Anolis sagrei: one gene and its partner. The protein of the gene in region 1 interacts with the protein of each later gene in a pairwise test. Links are inferred from orthologs where the notes say so. Each region holds a gene or a part of one and is shown on either strand. Other genes may lie near its edges.

Evidence for each region.
Region 2: the proteins of TCEANC (region 1) and SSNA1 interact in binary tests that used the Homo sapiens proteins (3 or more experiments, as listed by UniProt). The two-hybrid records come from large-scale screens. The link is inferred for Anolis sagrei from reciprocal best matches to the Homo sapiens genes TCEANC and SSNA1.

Annotation. Positions count from the first base shown.
Region 1 is NC_090023.1:91,729,351-91,738,013, reverse strand, and holds TCEANC (transcription elongation factor A N-terminal and central domain-containing protein), read left to right. Parts: upstream 1-5,191; 5' UTR 5,192-5,280; intron 5,281-5,616; exon of another isoform or gene 5,617-5,702; intron 5,703-5,899; 5' UTR 5,900-5,961; coding exon 5,962-6,115; intron 6,116-7,369; coding exon 7,370-8,430; 3' UTR 8,431-8,507; downstream 8,508-8,663.
Region 2 is NC_090031.1:15,870,277-15,878,034, forward strand, and holds the start of SSNA1 (microtubule nucleation factor SSNA1), read left to right. Parts: upstream 1-4,758; 5' UTR 4,759-4,808; coding exon 4,809-4,860; intron 4,861-7,758. Other genes in the region: ANAPC2 (anaphase-promoting complex subunit 2), read right to left, coding at 2,069-2,712, 4,620-4,685. UniProt on the Homo sapiens protein: Microtubule-binding protein which stabilizes dynamic microtubules by slowing growth and shrinkage at both plus and minus ends and serves as a sensor of microtubule damage, protecting microtubules from the microtubule-severing enzyme SPAST.

The DNA.
Region 1 (8,663 bases):
AAGGGGAGGCGATTTGGGTGCAAAGCAGCATAACTGTTTCTGAAACTAGCCATGCAATCATTTCATGTAACACTACATATATAACACTATACACTCAACAGAAGTGGCCGAGTTCTCTTATGAGCAATACTGGGAATGTTGCTATGCCATAATGATGTGTAGGAGGAAGACAATATGCAACCTTTATAGTACATAAATGAGAAAAATATAAAATGTGCATTGACATAGCAGAAGAATATGAAACAGCAGGATATTAAGTCAATGTATGTACTTTAAAATGGTGATAACAATGTATAGAACACATAATATTCCTAATGAGCTTTTTCTTCACAACTCTTCACAACTGGCACTTCTTCATTAATATTTTCCTCATTTTATCAGATTACCTTTGAGGCAGAACGTGGGAAAGGCACAACTGGAGAAATCGGAATGGATACCGTAATACTATTTTCTGGCTTGTGTCCTGAAGACCACCTTGCATTAGATATTTGAATTTATGGATTTCATTGCTATTATATTATTTGTTGTACTAATAAATATTTTGTATTGTTGTTATCTAGATGAAATACCAATCTAGAAACAATATCTTGAACCTCAAATCAGTCAGATAACACATTTGTATATATAGTATGCTAAACTTTGTTTTGTATGTTGCTTTATTTTGTTATAGCAGGGTCTTACAGAATGTGAAAATATTTCTCTAGCTCTTCTTGCAATAAATGTGCTTTATTGTATACAACATTCCCTTTGAAGAAAAAATCTATTTTTAATTCTATCTCATTCACTTACAACAGTGGTTCCCAACCTTTTTTTGACCAGGGACCACTCTGACCCGGGATCACTCTCCAACATTAGTACCAAAAGGGTTACAAATCAGTTTGTGGTTAACTTTAGATTTGGTTTGGTTATTTGGGGTGCGATTCATAAAATTTCATTGGATAGACCACATCTCCTCTAGTTTCTGATACAGAACATATGTCATCCAGTATTTGCCATGTGCTTGCCCACAGAAAACCATTTTTAATAATCTGGAGCTGATGTGGTCTATCTAAGGAGGGGTGGGGCTGGTCAGCGACAGGGAAGGAGTGGCAGGCTGCGCAAAAGGATTGGAAATAAGTTCAATAAAATCAATCAATCAATCAATCAATCAATAAATAAATAAATAAAGAGAAAGGAACCTCGCAGACCAGATTTTTGTCATCACTGCCCACTGGATGGTCCGTGGCCCACAGGTTAATAACCACTGACCTACAAGAATATGAAGCAATATCTTTGAAAGAATGTTTTATTTCAAGCAACATATAGGGTACAGTGGAGTAAATGTAATTGTATAGAGCCATGGTAAGGAACTGCAAATGGGCTGGGTGTTCAATCCACATCTTCTACCCATACATAGTTTTCCCCCCATATCACCAATTCATGCCCATGTTTTTGTTGAGATTCCTCTCATCATTGCAATAAATTTTCATACTATGTTTGCCAGAGGTACTTTTTACATAATAGCATTCTCTCACATTGCTGGATCAGGCTGTTTCTCTGTCTTGTTGTAATAAGAGAAATGAAGAACATAATCCAAAGGGGAATCAGCATATTTAAGACCCTGAAATCAATGGACGTAAATGTATAACTTATATGTGCCTATATGCAAGAAAACATATGTTTGGTTCCATCTCTCTTGTGTGCATTTTTGCTTAAGTTATTCATATTTCACTATGGGGAGAAAGTGTATTCTGCGTGTCAAAATATGAAAAATGTGAATTGCCTTTTGTCCTCCCATTATTCTTTCTTCTAATCTGTAGACACAAAATGTTCTTACAAAGAAGCACTGTAATTAATCCTCCTCACAAGCGTCCATAGTTAACAGAATACATGAAACAGATATTTCTGTGCTGAATGATGTGTCCAAGTTCTATTGTTTTTGGGACTTATTCAAGTTTTAAAAATAAATAACAAGATGTATCTTCAAATGTTTAATATTAAATCTGATGACAGATATGTACTAAAAATTAGAAAAAAACATTTCCAAAAGCAGTGTGATCTGTATAAGTTACGAATTGTAAACTTGAAAGAAGTTATTTTGAAAACACATACTATTTGTGCTCTGTGTGCATTGCATACTGTTTTTCATTAGAATTAAGCTTGTATTGTAACTGAAAAGACAAGAAAAAGTTACAAAAATGTTGGTGTTGAACAAGTATTTTCTTGTGCTAGTGAAATGGGGAATATAAAATTAGAACACATAATCTTCATTTGCTGGGTTGTTGTAGGTTTTTCAGGCTATATGGCCATGTTCTAGAAGCATTCTCTCCTGATGTTTCACCTGCATCTATGGCAAGCATCCTCAGAGCATCTTTAACCCTATCTTTAATCCTCTTTTGCTATCCACCGACATTCTGTTTTTTGTTCTTGAGTTGAGAGTAAAGCAACTGCTTTGGGAGACGGTGATCAGGCATTCGGACAATGTGGCCAGATCAGTGAAGTTGCTGGCGGAGTATCATCACTTCAATATTGGTCGTCTTTGCTTCTTCCAGAACGCTGATGTTAGTCTGCCTGTCTTCCCTAGAGACTTGTAAAACTACACCTATGAGATACTAGGATTGTCTAGTCGAGTACTACTCAAAAGTGGTGGTCGACAATGACCACCAGGGAAAAAAGAATTGCTCCACACAGGAAAAAAAGAATTGCCAATTTCTCACATCACAGATTGGCAATTTTAAGAAGTACTGATCTGTTTTAGTTACATGTGGAAATCTGCCGAGGAATCTTAACACAATCACATTCCATTTCAAAATGAAAAGATTTTTGTAAAGAAAGGTGAATGGAGAAATCAAAATAATAAGTTCTCTCCAAATACTTTAGGACTTACTTTAAACCAAATTAATATAAACTCAGCTAGATTCCATGACACAAGTCAGGAAAGGAACAAATCATCAAGTTGGAGGTTTTTCCTTTACATCTAGCTTCACTTTTTTTTCAATACAGCGAGTCAAGTTAAATGTTCCTCTCTACTAAAAAGTCAGTCCCAAATGGCATTCCTTACAGAGCACAGATAGGCCTAATGCCTTCTGGCTGAGTGGGAGCCAGTGGGAGCATACATAGTAGTGTGGAATAGCTGTGATCTAAATCTGATCAAAGTACATTAATACGGGATATAATGTTTAATACACCCAATGGTGCCCTCTTCTGGTTTGTTAAGGTTTAATGCAGAAGCACGAGGAACTTTCAACTTGTTTTGGGCCCCTTCCACTCAGCCATATAACCCGGAATATCAAGGGAGATAATCCACAATACCTACATTGAACTGGATTATCTAAGTCCACGCTGCCACATAATCCAGTTCAATGTGGAAGCTGAGCATTGGTGGAGGTTTCTTTCTTTTTTGCAGCATCCTTACAGATACCACAGCAGGGTACAGATATAGTTAGAATAATAAAATCTAATTGACACTGAATAAACTGGGAACATAAAAATGAAAAATGAGCACCCAACCCAATAGCTTAGAGACGAGAGGTGAAGAAGGCACACAAGAGAAATGTTTAAATATTTGAAAGGACATCATATTGTTAGCTGCTGCTTTGGAGACTAGGACACAATGGAGCGGTGGATTCAAATTGCAGGAAAAGAAGTTCCACCTAAACATTAGGAAGAACTTTCTGACAGTCAGAGGAGCTTTTTTGGCAGTGGATGTATGGCACCTGGGATTTAATGGCAGTCCCCCATCCAAGGACTAACCAGGACTGACCCTGCTTAGCTTCCAAGGATACGATTTCATTGTAGAATTGGCTCAATCCTATGGAATCGTGGCTGTTGTAATTTTAAAAGGTTTTTAGCCTTCTCTGCCAAAGAGCGCTTTAGCCTTGTCAAACTACAGCTCCCAAGATTTCCCGAGCATTAAGCCATAGCGGTTAAAGTGGTTTCAGGCCACATTGTTTGTACACTGTAGATAAGTGTTTATCAGAAGAGGTCATGAGGAGGTGTCAGAGGGGTCGCCAAAGACCATCAGAAAACAGTATTTTCTGTTGGTCATGGGGGCTCTGTGTGGGAAGTTTGGACCAATTGGTGGGGTTCAGAATGCTCTCTGATTGTAGGTGAACTATAAATCTCAGCAACAACTCCTAGATGTCAAGGTCTATTTTCCCCAAACTCTACCAGTGTTCACATTTGGGTATGTTGAGCATGTGTGCCAAGTTTGGTCCAGATCTATCATTGTTTGAGTTCACAGTGCTCTCTGGATGTAGGCGAGTTACAACTCCCAAACTCAAGGATAAAGGCCACCAAACCCTTCCAGTATTTTCTGTGGGTTCTGTGTGCCAAGTTTGGTTCAATTCCATCATTGGTAGAGTTCAGAATGCTTGTTGATTGTAGGTGAACTATAAATCTCAGCAACTACAATTCCCAAATGTCAAGGTCTATTTTCCCCATACTCTACTGGTGTTCACATTTGGGTATGTTGAGTATTTGTGCCAAGTTTGGTCCAGATCCATCGTTGTTTGAGTCCACAGTGCTCTCTCTGGATGTAGGAGAACTACAACTCCCAAACTGAAGGTCAAAGCCCACCCTGCTCTCCCTGCTCTCGCTCCCACCAGCGTCACAAATATGCCTGGTGGGGATGAGAGACAGGACCTTCTTGGCTGTAGCTCTCCACCTGTGGAACTCGCTTCCCAGCATTTTCTGTGGGTCATGGGAGTTCTGTGTGCCAAGTTTGGTTCGACTCCAGCATTGGTGGAGTTTGATTGTAGGTGAACTATATCTCCCAGCAACTACAAATCCCAAATGACAAAAATCAATCCTCCCCCAATCCCAAATTTGGGCATATCGGGTATTTGGGCCAAATTTGGTCCAGTGAGTGAAATTACACGCAGCATATCAGATATTTACATTACAATTCACAAGTTTGTAAAATGACAGTTATGAAGTAGCAACAACATTAATTTTATGGTTGGGGGTCACAACATGAGGAACTGCATTAAGGAGTGGCGGCATTAGGATGGTTGAGAAACACTGATGTAGATAAACTCACACCAAGGTTTCAAGGGCTTTTTATTTCCAAGTCAAAAGAGATATCAGATATTCTAAGAGATATCAGTACAATTGCTCTGACGCAATTGATAGCCCTCAGCAACAGCGGCTGCGCAAAGACACAGCCCACGCCGCGCATGCTCAGATTGCCCAACGAACCGCAAAGGTTCTTTCCAACTCACGCATGCGTGGTAGGAGCCCGAGCAGGAGAGGGGCGGGGCCACGGAGGGTGAGCTGAAAGGCCTCCTTAGGAAGGATAAGGTGAGCAGATGAGGAGGGATTTAATCATACCTTTCGGGGAAAAGTGACTTTGGGATCATATTTCGAATAATTATACATATCCTTGTTTATAAGAGATGAGTAAAATCCTCGTGTTCCCATCTGTTGTGGCCTCTTCCAGTTTTGTGATTCTATATGTGGAGTAGCCTTATTGACCATGAAACAAAATCCCAGATCCACTTTTATTAGGTCAGCCAGAAAGTGCAAAAATCATGATGTGCTAACTTTTGAACCACTCTGGCTCAACAATAGATGGATTAATAAGATTATGTAAAGACAGATGTTAGAGTTACAGGCCTACATTTTGCTTGTTTCGAGATGTTACAGAAATAGCAAGTTGTGCAGACAAATCCAGGCCCTGGGCCTCCCCTCCAAAAACAAAGCAACAAAAGTAATAAAGCAAGGTATTAAAACTACTATCCTCCAGCTGTTAATAGTGCCTTTGGGGACTCAGTAGTGCTTCCTATTATGTCCTCCCTTGAGACCCTATGTTTGGTACCAGCAGTCTTGGCTCCATATGACAAACAGCCTTTCATATGGTTTGGATCTCAAGAAACTCTGTCATATTGAAGTATTGAAGGATAATTAAGGTTTTCCACAGGTAACCTGTTATTATTTTGGTAGATGTGATTATGCTAACTCTGGCCCAGCTTACTTGTCTGAATGCATATTCCGCTACGTCCCGCCTTGCAGTTTAAGATCATCTGGGGAGACCCTGCTCTCGCTCCTGCCAGCGTCACAAATATGTCTGGTGGGGATGAGAGACAGGACCTTCTTGGCTGTAGCTCTCCACCTGTGGAACTCGCTTCCCAACGAGGTAAGATCAGTTTCATCCCTCCTGTCTTTTAGGAAGAAATTGAAGTCGTGGTTCTGGGACCAGGCTTTTGGACAGCAGGCATAAATAGCGCTTGGATATGGAATTTGACTGGAATGGTTATACGGCAGTTAATACTGTTTTTATTGTTTTAATTAATGTTCTATTATTGTTTAATTGTTGTTATATTGCTTTGTTATATTTAATGGCATCAAATTGTGCGAAATGTAAACTGTCCTGAGTCCCCCTTCGGGGGTTGAGAAGGACGGGGTAGAAATATTGGAAATAAATAAAATAAATAAATAATCCAGTGTTTCTCAACCTTCCTAATGCTGCAACCCCTTAATACAGTTCCTCATGTTGTGACCCCCTAACCATAAAATTATTTTTGATGCTACTTCATAACTGTAGTTTTGCTACTGTTATGAATCGTAATGTAAATATCTGATATCCTGATGTATTTTCATTTACTGGGCCACACTGGGCACACAAACCCCATACATCCAAATTTGAATACTGGTGGGGGTTTTTTTTGGGGGGGGGGAGTAGATTGATTTTGTCATTTGAGAGTTGTAGTTGCTGGGATTTATAGTTCATCCATTTCTTTTTACTTTGAACTACACTGTAATAAATTATCCGATTTACGTAGTCATTCTACATAGGGCTGCAACGTTACTCATTTTGTTTTATGCATTTAAAATAATTATTTCCTACTAGGACAAGGTCCCCTGGTGGCATAGCAGGTTAAACTGCTGAGCTACTGAACTTGTTGACCAAAAGTTCAGCAATTCGAATCTGGGGAGCAGGGTGAGCTCCTGCTGTTAGGCCCACCTTCTACCAACCTAGCAGTTCAAAAACATGCAAATGTGAGTAGATCAATACCTGCTTCTGCGGGAAGATAACGGTGCTCCATGCAGTCATGCTGGCCACATGACCTTGTCTACGGACAACACAGGTTCATCGGCTTAGAAATAGAAATGAGCACCCCCCCCCCCCCCAGAGTCAGACATGACTGAACTTAATATCAAGGGAAACCTTTACCTTTATCTTTTCTCCTAGGACATGACAATAAGCATCAAGAAAACATATGACATTCCAACAATACGTTGGTTGAATGTTGGATGAGACATTTATTGAAAATCCATCTATTCATCCAGAAAAATGATCTCAATTTGATTACATTTGTTGTGTCTGTATTAATATAGAGATGTATGTATAGTGCCTTCAGAGAAACATAATTCTTTCCATTTCTTTCAGGATTTGAAATGTCTAATACAAAAGTCCTCACATCTAGAGCTGACTGTATAGAGAAGCTACTGTCAGAAAGAAAATACCAAGATATTGGGATTCATCTTACATATCTTGAAACGATTGATATCACTATAGATGACTTGCAAGAGACTGATGTGGCCAAAGCTGTGTTCAGAGTCTTCAAGAATTGTCCCTCCGTGGTCCTGAAAAAGAAGGCAAAGCACTTGCTCTCAAAGTGGAAAGCAGTTTATAAAAAGCATTGCAGTCCATCAGTACAACTTCATTTGGGGTTATCTGAAAATGCAAATGAGGATTCAGATCATCTTCAAGTAGTCTCTGAAGATATAAACCCTTTGGGAAAATTGAACCAGCAGGAAAAATTGTGTCCTGCCAGTCCCAGTCTGGCATCAGAAAGCCCTTCAAGTAATGCTGGAAGTTGTGTGCAGAAAGATAATACAACGGAACCAGATCTGGGAAACGCCAATTCTATTAGTGAAACAGGCCAACAGTATAGTCCCATTGTGGCTGTGAGGGCGAAATGCACACAACTTCTTTATGAAGCATTGACTGATTCCTCAACAAGTAATGAAGAAATTGCAAAGCACCACAAAACAGCTGAAGAAATTGAACAACACATTTTTGCACTTCATGCTAACAATGATAAAAAGTACAAAAATTGCATCCGGAGCAAAGTTTCCAACTTGAAAAATCCAAAAAATTCTCACTTAAAACATAGCCTGCATATTGGAGTTCTCACTCCTCAGACATTTGCTAGTATGTCTGCAGTGGAAATGGCACATGATGAACTAAAGCAGCTTCGGGCTTCGTATACAAAATCAGCTGTTCAGGAACACCAGCTTCCCCAGAAGATCAATGGTACACTTACAAATAAAATAAAATGTCGGCGCTGTGAAAAATTTAATTGCACTGTGACTGTGATAGCCAGGGGAGCTCTTTTCCTTCCTGGTTGGGTACGAAGCACAGATCCAGATGAGCAAATGATGACCTACGTAATATGTAATGAATGTGGGGAACAGTGGTACCACAGCAGGTGGAATTGTTTATGATTGTATATCTTGTAATGATGATGTCTTCAGAGAATAATATATGGAATTATTAAAAGGCAATTAACTGAATAAGAAAATATGTTCAAGCTCTATTAATGTTTGTCATGAAATCCGAAAAAAATAAGATATGACAAAATAGTTACAAAACTACCAAAGGGAGTGGCCCAATGAGTCTATTATGTTTGGAATTATTAGATTTATGCAAGAATGTGACTCCGGTAGCCTTCTAGGAT
Region 2 (7,758 bases), on another chromosome or scaffold:
ACACCGCAGGTTGAAGGCCTCGTGTATCTTGTCTCCTGCATATGCCATCACTTGGGGACCCCTCCCCCCCAAGCACCAACTGCCGCTCTGGGCCAGAGTGAAGGGGGGGGGCAGGGGACAGTTCCACCTTGTCTCCTGTGCTATTGTAATAATATAATATAATATAATATAACATATATTGTATATACATATAATTGGAGCCCCCGGTGGCACAGTGGGTTAAAGCACTGAGCTGCTGAGCTTGTTGATCAAAAGGTCGCAGGTTCGACTCCGAGGAGCGGCGTGAGCTTCCACTGTCAGCCCTAGCTTCTGCCAACCTAGCAGTTCAAAAACATGCAACTGTGAGTAGATCAATAGGTACCGCTCTGGCGGGAAGGTAACGGCACTCCATGCAGACCTTGGAGGTGTCTACAGACAACGCTGGCTCTTCGGCTTAGAAATGGAGATGAGAACCACACCCCAGAGTCAGACATGACTGGACTTAATGTCAGGGGACTACCTTTACCTTTTATATACATATAATATTTATAATATTACTAGCCGTCCCCTGCCACGTGTTGCTGTGGCCCACATGGGGGCTCTGTGTGGGAGGTTTGGCCCAATTCCATCGATGGTGGGGTTCAGAATGCTTTGTGATTGTAGGTGAACTATAAATCCCAGCAACTACAACTTCCAAATGTCAAGATTCTATTTTCCCCAAAGTCCACCAGTGTTCACATTTGGGCATATTGAGTATTTGTGTAGAGTTTGGTCCAGATCCATCATTGTTTGAGTCCACAGTGATCTCTGGATGTAGGTGAACTACAGCTCCAAAACCAAAGGACACTGCCCACCAAACCCTTCCAGTATTTTTTGTTGGTCATGGGAGAACTCTGTGCCATGTTTGGTTCAATTCCATCGTTGGTGGGTTCAGAATGTTATTTGATTGTAGGTGATCTCTAAATCCCAGCAACTACAACTACCAAATGACAAAATCATTTTTTTTAGTGAAGGACATACATTGGGTTGTTAGGTGTATGTTGTCCAAATTTGATGTCAATTCCCCCAGTGGTTTTTGAGTTCTGTTAATCCCACAAACGAATATTACATTTTTATTTATACAGATAATGTAATGCAATATAATAGTAATAATAATAATAATAATAATATGATATTATAATTATATATTTATATTACATGTAATATTATTAATAATATTACAGTATAATTGATATAGTACAAATAGCAATACTTAAAACTGGTATTGTACTATGCTAATAATATATTGTATGTATATATACCTTGTAAGCCGCTCTGAGTCCCCTTCAGGGTGAGAAGGGCGGCATATAAATGTCGCAAATAAATAAATAAATAAATAAATAAATAAATAAAAACCCAGCGTGAAGGCTGTCATGTATAAAGCTACAGTGTGAAGCTCCACTGTGAAGATTGAATGTTGTGTTATGGAAACCTTGTTTTTATAAATAGTGCAATCATATTATTTTGCTATAAAGAAAACCCTCCTATGGAAGAGAAAACATTGGTCTGTGTGTTTTTGTTCCTTTTTGTCACTTTTGGCAACTGGTGCTGGGTCACACTGCTGCTAATAAGTTTTTCTCCTGTACATTTATGAGGAGGGTCTTTTGTTAATAAGCCCCCTTGCCCAACAAAAGACTCCTAAAGACTCCCAGTATCAAAGCATGACTAGAGGACAACTACAACCTTCTGGTGACAATCAGAAATGGAAAGGAAGAAGGAACGGGTGTAGAACACAGAAGTCTACAAGCAAAGAGAACTGGACATACAGGCTGGGAATTATGGTTAATATTCCTTCCATTTGATGCTTGGGGAGACTAGTTGTTGCTCTTGGATCCTTTATCAAGCATACCTTCCCCTTCTGGCGACTTTCAGACATGTCAGAAAACAGCTCCCCCATTTTCTTAACAATTATCCACCAACTAGGAAAGCTGAAGGAAAGAGCAGCATGGAGGTCAAATCTCACAAGAGGACCCCCAGGCCCCCTTTCATCCCTAAGTCCCCTTCACTCCATCATCAGACCCCCCTCCCAAAAGCAGACAATTGTACTTACAGAATACTGTTGAGTTGCTGGAAGTGCTCCACAGCTGTTACGCACCAGCAGCGCTCCCTCTGACACCCGCACCCGGCGCACTGGCTTCCTTTTCTGGCAGGCTCTCCCAAGATCTCCTCCTCCTCCTCACTTTCTGCCTGGTGGTCCTCACTCATGCCGCTCTCCCCCTCGGACATCCTGGGCTCCCGACTCCTCTTCCGCCACATGTAAATCTTGAAGCTGCGGCCATAGAACTGCCGAACCATCTCCCCGAAGCTATGAGGGGTGCTGAAGAAGAGGACGGCCCGAAGCAGGCTGTGTACCTTGGCCCTGAGCGGCTGGGCGCCCGTCCCGAGGAGCAAGCCCTCCTGTGTCCAGCCCTCCATCATGGTCAGGCTGCGCAGGTAGGGTTCCAGCCGGCGCCAGAGGAGGGAAAAAGCATCCAGGATCAGGAGGGAGCACTGAGCCTCTTCGGCCGTGTTCTCGTGCTGGGACACGCCGCTCCAAAACTCGGGGGAGATGCGCGCCTGCAGATCCATCTGCAGTACCTCCAGGAACCACTCCTCCAGCGCTGAATGCAGGCCATGGGCCTTCAGCACCTCTACCGCTGCGTGAAGGTCCCGCTCCGATGGGATGTCTGCCGGCTCCGACTCTGGCACCAGCGCCTGGGAAACCACAAGAGGCAGACTTAATGGAGAAAGCTTTGAAGACTGAGCCAGAGGTGCAAGGCATGAGGCGTCCCTTGCTATCTCTTTTAGCCATTCTATGTTGTTGTAGGTTTTAAAGGGTCATTTGTATTGTTTATAGCCTTTTGAGTCACTTTGAGGCCCCTTTCATTCATACAGCCAAATGAAATCCCACATTATCTGTTTTGAACTGGGATATATGTCAGTGTGGATTCTGATGTTTCAGCTCAAATCAGATATGTCATCAGTTGGGAACCCCTCCCCCAGCACTAACTGCTGCTCTGGACCAGAGTGAAGAGAGATGGGACCAGGGGACAGTTCCATCTTGTCTCCTGCATATGTCATCAGTTGGGGATCCCCCCCCCCCCCCCGCAACAACTGCTGCTCTGGGCCATAGTGAAGGGGGGGGGGCATGGGACAGTTCCATCTTGTCTCCTGTGCTATGCTAATAATATAAAATAGTATAATATAATATAATATATTGTATATACATATAATATTTATAATATTATAATGTAATGCAATATAATACTACCACTAATAATAATATAATATTATAAATATAAATATATATTTATATTATATGTAATATTACTAATAATATTACAATATAATGGTATAGTACAATAAAGTAATATTTAATACTGATATTATACTATGCTAATAATATAATATATTGTATGTAACTTGTAAGTCGCTCTGAGTCCCCTTCGGGATGAGAAGGACAGCATTAAAATGCCATAAATAAATAAATAAATAAATAAATATTCTGCCTTGATATTCTGGATTATATGACTGTGTGGAAAGGCCCTGAGTCTTGTTAAGAGAAGAAAGCGGGACGTATAACATTATTAACAACTACAACAATAACAACAGCACATGCCCCGTCAGAGACAGAAAGTTCACAAAGGAGTGGGAAGAAGAAAGGACAGCTACAGCCCATGTTGGTGCAGCAGATGGGCTGCACTGCTGAACTTGCTGACCGAAAAGTGGTTCGAATAGCGAGGTGAGCTCCGCTGTTAGCTCTAGCTTCTGCTAACCTAGCAGTTAGAAAATATGCAAATGTGAGTAGATCAATAGGTACCGCTTCAGCAGTCATGCTGACCACACGATCTGGGAGGCATCTACAGACAACGCCAGTTCTTTGGTTTAGAAACTGAGATGAGCACCACTCCCCAGAATCGGACATGACTAGACTTAACGCCAAGGGGAAACGTTTACCTTTACTTTATACATACATATAGACAAACAAACACACATATATGTCTTGTTATACATACACACACCCATATATATCAGTGGTTCCCAACCTTTTCTTGACCAGAGACTACTTTGGCCAGGTAGCACTCTCCAACATTAGTACCAAAAGGGTTACGAATCAGTTTTTGGTCAATTTTAGATTCAGTTTGGTTATCTGGGGTGCTGAATCAGAAAATTGTATTGGATAGACCACATCAGCTCTAGTTTCTGATACAGAACATACGGCATCCAGTAGTCGCCATCTGCTCGCTCACATATTTAAACCATATTTAACTAGCCTCGGAACTATTAGAGGGTTTTGCGAGACCAGTTGCTCCCGTTGCAACAGTGTAGTAATGGTGAGGCTGTGGACCATATTTTAGGTCTTGCGGACCACTAGTGGTCCACGGACCACAGGTTGGGAACCACTGCTATACATGACCCATGAGATGTCTTCCAACTCTATGATTCTATATAATAATAAATACAATATAATGTATTATATACCACACAATAAAACATAACATAATATATTCCATACTATAGAACAGGCATGGGCAAACTTGAGCCCATGCCTGCCCGACCCTTCACGTGTCACCTGAGGCCAGTTCACACGTGACCCCCGCTCCCCCCGTGGCTGCTCGTACCAGGCCCAGGGCGGCGGGCGGGACCAGGCCCGTGCTGAGGGCGCGCCAGGCGGCGGGAAAGGCCATCCCGGCGGAGGCGGAGGAGGCGGGCTCCGTTCTGAGGCGGCGGCCGTTGAGCGGAGAAGAGGAGGCGGAGCTCTCCGCGGCGGGAGGGAGGAAGGAAGGAAGGCGAGCCCGCGGAGACGGAGGATGACCCAGCAAGGGGCCGCCCTGCAGAGCTACAACAACGAGCTGGTCAAATGTGCGTCGCTCAGGCTTCGGCCGGAAGTGTAGGCCTCGCGTTGCTATGGAGACGCGGCCTACTGTGGCCGGCGTCGCAGAGAGACCTTTGGGGCCTTTTCGGGTCGGGGCTCGGAGTCAGAAAGCGGGGACACGTGGGGAGAAAAGGGAAGGAGAGGGGTTTGGGGTGCCTCCGCACTATTAAGGGGTGAAAACGCTTCAACTGTGGCGTCCCTTCTCCCGCGTGGGCTCCTGGGAAATGTAGTTTGGGGCCTAGAACAGCGCGAACACTTTGTTTATCCAGTGACGTCATGACCCCGCCTTCCTTTCGCCTCCAATAGAAATTCGAGGCGGGTGGCACAACACAGGGCAAAGGCAGATAGATAGATTTCATTAGATAGATAAATTAAATTGATTGATAGATGGATTAGATAAATAGAGTGATAGAGTAGATTAGATAGATAGATTAGAGAAACAGATTAGATAAATTAGACAGATTTGATTGATTGATTGATTGATTGATTGATCGATCGATCCATGGATTAGATAGATAAAATGATAGGTAGATTGATAGATTGATCAGATAGATAGATAGACAGAGAGATAGATAGATTAGAGAGATAGATTACATAAATTAGACAGATTAGTTTAATCAATAGATGGATTAAATAGATAGAATGATAGGTAGGTAGATAGATTAGTTTGATAGATTGGATAGATAGATCAAAGAGACAGATTAGATAAATTAGACAGATTAGATTGATTGATAGATGGATTAGATAGAATGATCAATAGATTAGATTGATAGATCAGTTAGAGAGATTTTTTAGATACATTAGACAAATTAGATTGATTGATGGATTAGGTAGATAGATTAGATTGATAAAACTAGATAGCTAGATCAGATAGACAGATTAGATAAATTAGACAGATTAGTGTCATTGATAGATGGATTAGATAGATAGAATGATAGGTAGGTAGGTAGATAGATTAGATTGGATAGATAGATCAGATAGACCAGAAAGATAGAGAGATAGATTAGATAAATTAGATGGATAGATAGATTAGATTGATAGATTAGATAGCTAGATCAGATAGATAGACAGATTAATTAGACAGATTAGTGTCATTGATTGATGTAGATAGATAGAATGATAGGTAGGTAGGTAGATTAGATTGATAGATTGGATAGATAGATCAGATAGACCAGAAAGATAGAGCGATAGATAAATTAGATGGATAGATAGAATAATAGATAGATTAGATTGATTGATAGATAGATTAGATAGATCAGATAGATTAGAGAGATAGATTAGATAAATTAGACAGATTGGTTGATTGATTGATTAGTTGGATTGATAGATGGATTAGCTAGAGGAGATGATTAGATAGATGAGATTGATTTATTAGATAGATGAATTGATAGATACATAGATGATAGGTTGATTGATTAGATATATAATAACAACAATAATAATCTTTATTTATATCCCACCCCATCTCCCCAAAAGAATTCGGGTTATCTTACAGCATAAATAAATACAATAAGTAATATATACAAAATAAATAACAAATCAGCGAAAAAGGGAAAACAAAAAAAATAGACAAATTAAACAATAAACCGTAAAAAAATAAATTAAAACACAGTGGTTCCAATAAGTTAAATACAAGCCAAAATATCCTAATCAGCATATATCCATAACACTAAAACAAAGACCTCGTCCACTTTATTTATTTTTTACGACATTTATATGCCGCCCTTCTCACCCAGAAGGGGACTCAGAGCGGCTTACAAGATATATATACATACAATATATTATATTATTAGCATAGTACAATATCAGTATTATATATTACTATATTGTACTATACCATTATATTGCAATATTATTATTAATATTACATGTAATATAAAACATATAATTTTAATATTGTATTATTAGTAGTAGTATTATATTGTATTACATTGTAATATTATAAATATATGTATATACTATTATATTATATTATACCTATTATTAGTATAGCCTGGAGACAAGGTGGAACTGCCTTCCTGCCCCCCCCCCTTCCACTGGCCCAGAGCAGCAGTTAATTAAAAGGTATTAACCTAATCATTTTCAAAGTCCTTCTTTCAAAGTCCTCCGAACATATTCCCCCCTACGAACCATCAAGATTACTAAGATCGTCTGGAGGGGCCCTGCTCTCGGCCCCACCGGCCTCACAAGCACGGCTGGTGGGAACGAGGGCCTTCTCGGTAGTGGCCCCGCGACTCTGGAACTCTCTCCCGCCAGAGGTTAGAACCGCCCCAACAATCCTGACATTCAGGAAACAGGCGAAGTCGTGGTTATGGAGACAGGCTTTCGAAGAATGAGACAATGATCTGGATGGAAGACGGTGTATATTCGATTTTAGTATGACGACTGACCACTGTAGTTTTAAATATATGTGCTTTTTAAATGTTTTATTGTAATGTGTATTTTGATATTTTACCGATTGTATGTGTTTTTATGGTTGGAAACCGGGCTGAGTCCCTCTTATGAGGTGAGAAGCTCGGTATATAAAACTTTGAAATAAATAAATAATAAATAATTCTTAAAAGTCGTGAGAGTGGCTGCTTGTCTGATCTCCTTGGGGAGAGCACTCCAGAGCCGGAGCGGGGCTCTGTTGAGAGGGCCTTTTCCCTCGTTCCCACCAACCTCACTTGCGACGGGGATGGGATCGAGAGGAGGCCCCCCTCCAGCTTATCTTAAAGCCCAAACGGGTTCATAAAGGGGGATGCGGACATGTAAATAGGGACAACTCAAACCGAAAATTGAGAAACAATTACACGCAAAATATGAAAATTAGAGGAACCAAAGGGTGGGGGGACAGCTTGGAAAGGCACTTCCATGCAGTGTGGACACAACCTTCTTTTGAAGCA